Rattus norvegicus: one gene and its partners. The protein of the gene in region 2 interacts with the protein of the main gene of each other region in a biochemical or structural test. Links are inferred from orthologs where the notes say so. Each region holds a gene or a part of one and is shown on either strand. Other genes may lie near its edges.

Region 1 (3,500 bases), on a different chromosome or scaffold from region 2:
AGACAAGTGAGGGACAAAGATGTTTAAGACCAGGCTCTTTAGACAAGGGCAGGGGTGTGGCAGCCACCCCCCACCCGACCAGAGCACCTCCCCATCCTCCAGGGTGGACAGGTGGCCTTGTGGGACTCACGATGGATACTTCTGGTGCAGGGGCGTCTTATCCCTGTGCAAGGGTGTGGTGACTACCACCTTTTGGCTGCACACCGGAGTGGACGTCAGGGAGGGGCTCTCCAACTCCAGGGTATCCTGTTTGTTCCAGAAGTTCAGAAACTGCCAGGGAAGAGAGAAGACATGTGACAAGGCGACCTTTGTAAGCGTCCATGAGGCCTTTGCAGGGAGGAGGGACAGCTCCTTAGACCCCCCCCTTCCCTATGACTGCTTGTTCAGGAAGGTTGAGGTCTTGTCCTAACCTGTAGGGCACCAGCAAAGACTTCTTTCAACAAACATGACTCAGCCCTTCTGTCTGTTAGCATCCAGGGAGGCCTTTCAGCTTTCTCAATGGAAGCTCCACCCCTACAAGTTCTGGATCCCTAGTTATCAACTTGATGGTTTACACAGTCACTGTGGGAAAAAGCCTCAGCCTGTCTGCCAAGTATTTTTCTAGGTTCAGTTAAATGAGGTGGGATTACCCACCTGAATATGGGAAGTGCCCGTCCACAGGCTGGGTTCTTAGACTGACCGACAAGGGAAAAGGAAGCCGAATGGGACATCATTCTGCCTCTTGGCCGGCTGTAGTATGACTAGCTGCTTTCAACTCCGACTACCACGAATTCCTAGCCTTGGTGGACTATACCCTAGACCTGAAGCCCAAATAAGGCTGTCCTTCCTTCAGTTGCTTCCACGAATGACTTAACGACCTTAGCCAGCCCCCCTTTCAGCCCCATAGCCTCTTCCTTTTTATGTGATCACCCATCTGGATCTGAAGACCAGAGTGTTAGCTCCATAAGGGGAGGGCCAGCTCTGGTTTTGCTCACCACTGGTTCCCAAGAACCGAGCACAGGGAGAGAACCACCGAATACTGATTATCTAGTGTGTACCTGCGCCAGGCCCTCACCGGGCACAATGTGTTTATGTATGGAAGCCAAGGTAGGCAGAGGTGCCCACACACCTGGGAAGGAGAGAAGGGAAGGGTTTTGACAGGTGTGCTCTTCGGGGTAAGGCTATTACAGGAGTCCAGGAAGGACAAGCTGGCACTGTTCTCTGTGACAGGCGACAGGGCCACGCGCCGTTTCTTCTGTCGCTTGAGCACTGAGGGCGGTGTGCCAATGCCTGAGCCCCCAAACTCAGTGCTTGGGGAAATGGGGATCAGCTCTCCCCGGCTGCTCCGGCTCAGGTCTGAAATAGTGTGGCCATCAAGGCGATACTCAGTCACACTGGGCCCTGGTGTGGCAGCCTGGTGGAATGACAGTGCCTGCTGGTGCTGTTGCTGCTGCTGCGGTGTCTGGAGTTGCACTGGGCTACTGTTGACACTGCCCTCTGCAGACGGTTCTTCAGGAAGATCAAATTTACTGAGGTCACACCAAGCATCGGGGTCCTGCCAGAAAGGGAGGTTAAAGGTCTTCCTAATACGGTAGAACTTAATTTAAACACAGGAAGAAGACAGACCGGTGTCAAACCTGCTCCCTTATCCACTTAGTCGCTACTGTTTACATTCATTTCCTCAGCATCCTACATACCATAGTGGGACTTGAACAGGATGCTTGCCCATCCATGGCTTTATAGTGCCTATAGCAACCGGCTGGGAAAACATGCGTTTGCTGCTTTATGTTTGTCAGCTCACTACACATGCGTTGGTGTAAGGAGTTAGGTCTCTCCTACCTCGTGGGTCCTGGGGGGTGACTTCAGATGGCCAGGCTTGGTGATAAGCACCTCTATCCACTGGGCCATCTCACTAGCTCCTTTTCCCACTCGCACATCAAGGAACCCACGCTAAGCTCTTAAGAACAAACAGGAACCACATGCCCTCTGTCTTTCCTTACCCAAAGCTTTCTGAAAACAGAAGGTTCCACTTTGATCCTGGAAATGTGGCCTGAGTAGATCGAGCTCAGCTGCAGGTTGTGGCTGTGGGGACTTGCCGGAGCCGGGACAGTTTATTCCTAAGTGGAAACTAGCTGGCAGCTGGGATCAGAGACCTCAGAGACCAGAGGTCTTGGAGACTGAAGGCATCTACCTTGGTGGTAGGAAGCTATCCTGCAACAATGTCTGGGGAAGATGCGGAGGGGGGCATAGAGAGCAGGCTCTGGGCATCTTTCCCTGATCTTCACCTTGGAAGAGTTAGACATGAGGACTTCTGGCTGACGGAGCCTAAAGCTGGAGGTCACAACCAAGAGGAGTGGCTCCACCCACAGGCTCGCAGGCAAAGTCATTGTTGAGCTATTTTCTCAGAAATGACACGGTCCCTCCTAGAGGAAAGTTACAAGAGCCACAAGGCCCCTCCCCAGGATTCTAAAGCTGTAAATAACTGCTGGTGAAAAAAGGAGATGCTGCCCTGCGGGTTGCATGCGTGTTGGGCCGGAAGCTCCAGGGAGAGCACCTTTATGAGTCTGTCATTCTTCTGGTCATGCAGCAGTCTTCCTGTCACCCATGGACCTGCCAGTGTGTCTAAGGATTTTATTAGTCTGCCATGCTAGACCTGTGTGCACTTGCTCCTTTCACCTGTCCTTAGCACCACTTATCTGGGGTAAACAGGTTGTGTGTTTGTCTCCTCAGAAAAAGCCGTGCAGGGAGCATGAATCACAACAGTATACGGCCTTGGCTGAGCAGCCGAAACCGTCTTGTTACTCCTGGCCCTTCGGGGCTTCTCTCCAGTGAGATCTGGCTATGCAACGCCAATTCAGCCTTTCTCTCTGGGAAGCCCTTTCACCCTACTCCATGCTGGAGGGTAAAGACTGCTCAGAGCTGTGCAGCCCCCATCATTCAATAAATGCTAGGAGGATGGCGGCGGTGGAGGGGGCCGGCTCACAAGGGAAGTGCTATTCGCTGTGTGCCTGCTGGGACCAACAAACATACCGACTCGATCAAGTCCAGAGCTTCGGAGAGGCTGGACTCCACAGCAGGGATGAGGAGGTTCGCGGCCTCCACCACCCACTTGTAGGGCAGGCTTGTTTCTGGGGAGGATTCCTCCTGGTATTCACGCTTGAGGAATTCCAGGGGCTCTGGGGTGCGCACTTCCCCCAGATCAGTGGGGACGGGCTCCTGCTTGTGTTCCTTAGAAGTAGTAGCCACGGCAGCCTCCTCCTCGCTGCTCTCCTCCTCCTTCACAGTAGAGGGCGCCAGGGGCCAGCTGCTCACAAGACTTCCCTGTCGGACGCAAGGGCACACTGGAGATTTTTGTTGAAATAGCGTGCTAATGTTGTTTGTAGCTAAAGACACATAACCCCAATCAAATATCCAAAGAACTCATGTGAACAGAGGCTGAGGGACATTCCAACCCTCCTGAACACTGGAAAACATATTAGTATCATGACAGGGGCTAATGAGATTTATGCATAAATGACACT
Region 2 (3,500 bases):
AATTATATTGTTATTTTTCTCTTGGTGATTCAGTATCCTTTGCTAACTAATGAAGTTGAATAATTTAATATGGTCTTCAGAAACAAAACAAAGCACAGCTAAAGCCACCAAAGCTATGGGATTGTTTTTTTTCTGTTATTGGTTTGATCCTAACATTCTTCTCACAAAGTGACCCAATATCTATTCAACCAACAGGGATCCAGCTGAAGCATGTGTCCTTTAGACCTAGTCAGTGTTTCAAAGTCCCCAACCTGTCACAGTTCCCAGCAGTTAGTATACCATACCCTTGCGGTACTCTCGCGGACTGAGAAAAAGCTCACAGTATGTTTATAGCCCACACAGTTCTCTGATGGTTCTGTGGCAATGGCAGTATAAAGTGAATAAGCCTCCAGGGCCATGCGAGAGGACAGGAGCTAGAGACGACCGTTCCAAACTTTCCCCCTGATAATTCCTTACCCGCCCCCCAGGAAATACGAAGAGATATACCCGCCCGATGTCGATGAGTTTGTCTACATCACTGACGACACGTACACAAAGCGACAGCTACTGAGGATGGAGCATCTGCTGCTGAAAGTCCTGGCATTCGATCTGACCGTTCCAACCACCAACCAGTTCCTCCTTCAGTACTTAAGGCGGCAAGGGGTGTGCATCAGGACTGAGAATTTGGCCAAGGTATGCCACAGGACTTCTGGGGACAGCCACCTTTCCAACCACCTTCCACGCCCATCCCTCCCGGGTTTCCATCTCTGTAGAGGTGAAAGGCAGTTGTCTTAAAAACACGATGCCTGCTCACCAGACATTGCTGTTGATGGTACTGGCAGGTCCCAGTCACGTAGCTCCCGACTATCAAAGACTCTTAAGCACGGTAAGCTCCCTTGAGAGATGCAGACCGCAGGCGAGCAGCGCCTTTTAACTTGGGAGCAAGGTAAAACGTGGCTGGGTTTTGTTTGAATCTTATTCTAATTCAGTAAGAAATAAAGCAGCACGAAATCTGCAGCCATTTTGATCTAGAGGCACTTAGTTGGAATTATTAGCACTCTGTCCTAGCCAGTGAGCTTGCCATGGGAAATCTGTGAAACACACGCTATTCAAAGAGTAATAAAGATGACCACAAAGATTTCCCTGCATTCTCCTGACACGTCTCCAATGGCATTGCTTGAGCTTGAGAACTGTATCAATTTGCCTAGCCATTGCTAGCTTCAGTATGGCTGTTTCTTTGCCTCCTGGCTAATGACTCTTTCTATTTGAGATGTGAGCTCAATACTCCCTTATCTGACCACCGTAAAGCCTGATCTACTAGATAAGAGAAGTAACCTATCACATATGCCGTGTGGGTGAGATAGGGTATGGGAACATCATCACAACACAAACATTAGTCAGTCGAAGGACAGTCAGAGCAACTATGGAACTAGGAAATATACCTGGCTTAAGTTTGGGGCTCATCATTAGATTCTGAGGGAATGAAAATAAGGAACCAATTGGTGAGTTTGGCAATTCCAGGTTTACTGACAATTTTAGTCAAATTGGACCTTGCTCAAATTTCTTACTCCACTGAGATTTTTCTCTCTTGCCCTTAGTATGTTGCAGAACTGAGCCTTCTGGAAGCTGACCCATTCTTGAAGTATCTTCCTTCCTTGGTAGCAGCAGCAGCTTACTGTCTGGCAAACTATATTGTGAACAGACACTTCTGGGTACGTTTCTGTCTTCTTCCTAAGTAGAACACATTCAAAGTTCATACAAAATCTGTTCAGTGAGTTCAAGATTCAGAATGGACACAAGCCTTCTGAGGGAAAGTTTTTTTCATGATAGCTGGTTGTCATGGCAGCAGACCACAGCTTGTTTCTGAGTCTTCTAGATCAGTCACCATGGCTTTGATGCCATGGCTTTGCTCTGTGGGAAGCAGAAATAGCACGGAATCAGGAAGGCCTGGGAACCTCAGTGCCCAACAAAATATGCATAGAGGGCCTTGAGGCTTAGCCATTGGCCATGCCAAGCTAAAGTTGATCCTAGACAGCTGGAGTGGTGCACACCTATATTATAAGTGCCTGTGAGGTGGAGGCAGGAGGATTGTTAGTCCAAGTCCAGTCTGGGTCTCAGAGGGAGACCATCTCAATAAAACAAACATTAGTAGCATTCAGCTTCTGTAACAACGACAACAACAAAACCCCTCCAAGTTCAGTAATGACTGTTTCTTGCCTCAGAAGGCAGAAAGATCAGAAACAGATCCCTACATTTTATTCTAAATTTTCTCGGAGTGCTAAAAGAAATGAGTTATCTACTTTTATTTCTTATGATACTAGATAACTCTTTTAAAAAATGTATTTATCTGCATGCACATGTGTTTGTGTGTGTGTATGAGAGAGAGAGAGGCAGAGAGAGAGAGAGAGAGAGAGAGACAGAGAGAGAGAGAGAGAGAGACAGAGAGAGATGTAGGTCAGAGGAGAACTTTTCTCCTCCTATCAAGGGTTGTCTTTTGACTAGGGATCTCTATTCTATGCAATCTCTCATATTTAGTGTAAATTATTAAGAATCAGTGAAAGCCCCACCCACATAGGATCAAGAACAGTGGTCTGCCTCTACACTGAGGGTTACAACTATACTCCTGCCAGTTTAGAACCCAGGCTGTTTGGTTCTAGTGTAAGGTTTCTAAAGGAAGGGGTTATGAATCTTTCTGGATGGATATACTTGCTCACCAAGAATTTCACTTCACCCTTCACTTCATAAGCAGTTATGTTCAGATTTCTAACCTCTTATAAAGTTACGTGAAGCAAAATTTCCTTTTCGTTTCAATTAGCCAGAAACACTTGCTGCATTTACGGGCTATTCATTAAATGAGATTGTGCCTTGCCTGAGTGAGCTGCATAAAGCATGCCTCAGTATACCCCATCGACCGCAGCAAGCAATCAGGGAGAAGTACAAGGCTTCGAAGTAAGTGGGCACTCTCCCTTCCTTGCTTTCTGGGTTGTTGTGGAATCAGAACAACAAAAAGAAGTAGAATAAATTCTATCTTTCATTAGGTTGGAAAACAAGGTTGCTCGCTAAGTCAAGAAAAGACATTTAGGAAGATCTAGCTAGATTCACAGTTTGCCAGCGTTTGGCAGTTATAGTTAGCTGGCTTCCTTCTGACCCTTCAGACTGCTGGAGGTTTTCTGTAGCCTAACTGGCATCCTTGGCCCTGGGCTGACCTGGCTGTGCTCTCGTTTCAGGTACCTGCACGTGTCCCTCATGGAGCCACCCGTAGTTCTTCCCCTGCAGTGAACGGGTCAGCTCAACAGCCACACCAGCAGGCTTACTCTGACCTGTTACAGTTTTCTGCGGGTCGGGCCAACTAATGTCAGTTGTAGATGTCACCTTCAACATATGAGTGTTAGGTTCTTTTAGACGTCGGTAGTTTATAATTTATATAGATATAGACAGGTATTTTAAAAGAATAAACAACTTGCTGTGTGGCCATGTGTTGGGCCTCTTTACTAGTTGGCATAGCTGACACAACAGGCATC
Region 3 (3,500 bases), on a different chromosome or scaffold from region 2:
TGTGTGTGCATGTGTGCGTGCGCGCACACACACACACACACACACACACGTATAGGAAACCTACAGCTATAGGGAACTGGATCTGCAAGACCTGTGTGTTCTTCCCCTTCTATCATCCCAGGGAAGGTAACTCTCTTTGGACCTTGGTTTCCCAGCTGTTGGGAATGCAGGAAGCCACTGTAAGCCAATCTGGCTTGGTCTGGCTGCCACCTGCCCACCTGCCTGATGAGTACTTACAGCCACTGGATATGATTCTTGGACTTCTTGGCAATGAGTTGGATGCCCTCCAGGACATTGGTGATGTCATAGATGCGTCGTTTCTGCACCTTCAGCACCTCGGCTGCCCAGTTCAGATCAACAACACCATCAGCTGAGTGGCTCAGCAGCTCCAAGAAGCGTTTGGTGGTCAGATTTAGTGAGGTCTCATAGCGTGACTTCTCCCCTGGAGATTTCACACCTGGGGGGCAGGGGTTAGGCTAGGCAGGGTTCTTCAAACACTCAGTCTGCCCCCAACAGGCCTGTCTCCCTAGCAATGTGGAGTGGCAAGATGAGGCAGGAGGCAAATGGCTCCTTCCCCTTAGTCAAGCCAAACAGAAAGGCTCTGTGGCTGTTGTCTGCCAACCAAAGCATTCCTCTTGTAGCTGGGCAACTCCCCACCTCCAAGGCCCAAGGAAGTCCTGTTAGGCAGCCATTCCAGCCACCTCCTGGGGCCCCAGAGTGTACAACCATGTCCACGCCCCTCCCCCAGTATGGGACTGAGAAGCTGGAGTCAATGGGCACCTTTCCCTGGGTGGCGGCCTCTGCCCCGGAATGGCCCGCTGCTACCAGCAAGGTACTGATGGTCAGTTTCCAGATCCAGCCTCCGTTTCACCTGTAGCAGAAACACAGGAAGATGCCCCAAAACCAGGACTGACACCACAGAAGACTTAGCTAAGGGCTTGATACCCAAAACCCAGTCTTACTTCTCTGTTATGATGCCTAGGAGTGCGAAGAGAGACAGATCCTGAGGGACATGCATGGGGTTATTTATTACCCTATCACACAAATCAGTCAAGTACAAGGCTGAAAACCTGGGTTCAAATTTTAGGTCCAACATTACGGCTGGTGGTGGTTTTTAAAAAATTTTGTTTAGATTTATTTATTTTATGTATATCATTACACTGTAGTTGTCTCCAGACACACCAGAAGAGGGCATCAGATTCCCATTACAGATGGTTTTGATCCATCATGGGGTTGCTGGGATTTGAACTCAGGACCTCTGGAAGACCAGTCAGTGCTCTTAACCACTGAGCCATCTCACCAGCTTGGTGGCTTTTAAATACATACAAATCATCACTGTAATGCTAGAGGTTAAAATAAAGGCCTCGTGAACGCTACCACACAATCTACCAATTAGTCTCCTTAGTTCCTACAAATACAAGGTCTCACTATTTAGCCCAGGCTGGCACTATGTAGCCAAAGATGACCTTGAATTTCTTTCTTATCTTCCTGCCTCTACCTCCCAAGTACCGGGCTTACAGGCACATGCCACCAGGACTTGGCGCTTTCAAAGATATTTGCTAACTTTCCCCCCTTAAAGCAAGCCGAGAGTGATAAGTGTCCCTTCTGAGACTGGTCACTACAACAGTGATGCTTCTTCTGAAGTGACGGGGAGGGAGACAGCTTTGTGCCATGCTCTCAAGTAGCCCTGGGGATAAGCCCCTATGACAAGAGAGCTGAGACCTCCTCCAGGTGAGGAGGAACAGGGCAAGCTTGCAACCTTAGTCTCACTTCTGACTACAGCCTGGGACCTTTCTGGCGGAACAGGACTCCACCTCAGGCTAGAAGCACTAGCTAAATCTCCCTCAAGTCCCAACCTACAGAGACTATACAACCAGTGCTTCCAGCCACCAAGGGAGGGTCTGGGTCCCCCAGGCAGCTCCCGCCTCTAGCTTTTAGCTCATTTGCGTATCTATAACCATGGCAGCAGCTGGAGCTCACCAACTGCTCTGTGTTCAGTGTACTCTGCTCTTTGAACTGACAACACCACAACCCTCCACTTTACAACCTACATAGAAGACCACAGAGAAGTGGCAGAGCCACAATCCCTACCCAGGTCTTCGAGAAAGACCCTGAGCTGCTAACCTCCATGCCCTCTAACCTAAGTTCTAACTTCACAGTGACGGGAAGGACCCCGAAATCCCACAGATAGCTCAAAACACACTAACCGGACCAGACTTGCTATCCTTCACCAGTCACGGGCCTTTCTCAACTAAACCCTCTCAACCTGACCCACCACCTGTCACGTTCTTTTGCCAAGAATTCTACCCACAGCCATTATCACCCTCCCACCGGACAGGACAGCTGTCCCCATGCTGGTCTCCCTCTACATCACTCTGCCTCAGTAAAGCCTTCCAACAGCACTCCTCACATGAACTGTGGGGATGAGCTTCTCCCAAGCCCTGCTCTAACGCTATTCTATGCCCTCTCCACACACCTGAAGCTGGCTCCTGCACGATTGCTTAAGAGAGCAATTGCTGTCCTCTCTCGGTACTGCCTCAAACCTGGCCTTTTCCTCCATCCAATACAACTTCTACAGATGTGTCTGTTGTCCCTGCCCACTGCCTCCACCGGAGAAAGGTCATTCATTGGACACTGGACCAATAAACCCCTGCATCAGTGTCTGCCACAGGCCTCAGTGTCCGCCAAGACTCCCCACCATCATCCTGCCACCAACTCCTGGAAGCCAAGGAAAAGGACAGCACATGAGAGTGAGACGATGAGAAAAAGGCAGACACTGCCTCTGCTGTCTGTGCGAGAGCAGGGCGGTGACTAAATCCCAAACATTTCCTCAGCAAACTTTTGTCTGACTGTAGGAGGTATGGCAGTCTCCACCTTGGAAGACCTGTAGCCAGGAAGAAATCCAGGTATATGCACCCCAATGGGCTGACACAGCCCCAGATGCCCTTGCCCATCTCCAATGTCATCCTTAAAGTAGGGCTCAGATTGATGGTGTTTCTGTCACTCATCTTTAGACAACACTGAGATCCTAAAAACCACAGGTGAAGATATTGATAACTGAGTGCTTCAAACACCCATCCACAAAGGCTGTATGTAGCCCCTGGAACAGCATGTGGTCTCAGTAACAGACCCAGACAGGTCCAGGCCAGCACAGAATGCTCTCACAGACACACAAGGAAACCACTCTGACAGGCTAATACATATATGGTCCCTTCCTGGACTAAAAGCTCAGGAGCTGCTCCAGTTCAGTTTCTGACAGAGTGTGTTTCAGAAACAGGCGCGCTTCTGTGGGAGAGCCAGGGCAGACTGTTACCTCCTCTGGGCAATGTGAATGACGTACTGTTTGAACATGGATCAGGCACAGGAAAACCTTGAACTCCTGATCCTTATACCTCTACTTCTTAAGTGCTGGAATTATAAAGGTGCCATCACACGTGGCTCACAGCAACTTTTAGAACTATTAAAAACAAAAGTTCTGAAGACTGGGGACTGGCAGAGTA

What was found.
Region 1: the proteins of Ccna1 (region 2) and Mybl2 form a complex in vitro, tested with the Homo sapiens proteins (2 studies listed by BioGRID, with this or other methods). The link is inferred for Rattus norvegicus from reciprocal best matches to the Homo sapiens genes CCNA1 and MYBL2.
Region 3: the proteins of Ccna1 (region 2) and E2f1 form a complex in vitro, tested with the Homo sapiens proteins (2 studies listed by BioGRID). The link is inferred for Rattus norvegicus from reciprocal best matches to the Homo sapiens genes CCNA1 and E2F1.

Annotation. Positions count from the first base shown.
Region 1 is NC_086021.1:172,141,805-172,145,304, reverse strand, and holds part of Mybl2 (myb-related protein B), read right to left. Parts: intron 3,301-3,500; coding exon 3,010-3,300; intron 1,535-3,009; coding exon 1,109-1,534; intron 271-1,108; coding exon 131-270; intron 1-130. UniProt on the Homo sapiens protein: Transcription factor involved in the regulation of cell survival, proliferation, and differentiation. Transactivates the expression of the CLU gene.
Region 2 is NC_086020.1:141,383,301-141,386,800, reverse strand, and holds the end of Ccna1 (cyclin-A1), read left to right. Parts: intron 1-467; coding exon 468-672; intron 673-1,577; coding exon 1,578-1,691; intron 1,692-2,794; coding exon 2,795-2,928; intron 2,929-3,206; coding exon 3,207-3,258; coding exon of another isoform or gene 3,259-3,332; 3' UTR 3,333-3,448; downstream 3,449-3,500. UniProt on the Homo sapiens protein: May be involved in the control of the cell cycle at the G1/S (start) and G2/M (mitosis) transitions. May primarily function in the control of the germline meiotic cell cycle and additionally in the control of mitotic cell cycle in some somatic cells.
Region 3 is NC_086021.1:163,529,064-163,532,563, forward strand, and holds part of E2f1 (transcription factor E2F1), read right to left. Parts: intron 872-3,500; coding exon 781-871; intron 458-780; coding exon 238-457; intron 1-237. UniProt on the Homo sapiens protein: Transcription activator that binds DNA cooperatively with DP proteins through the E2 recognition site, 5'-TTTC[CG]CGC-3' found in the promoter region of a number of genes whose products are involved in cell cycle regulation or in DNA replication.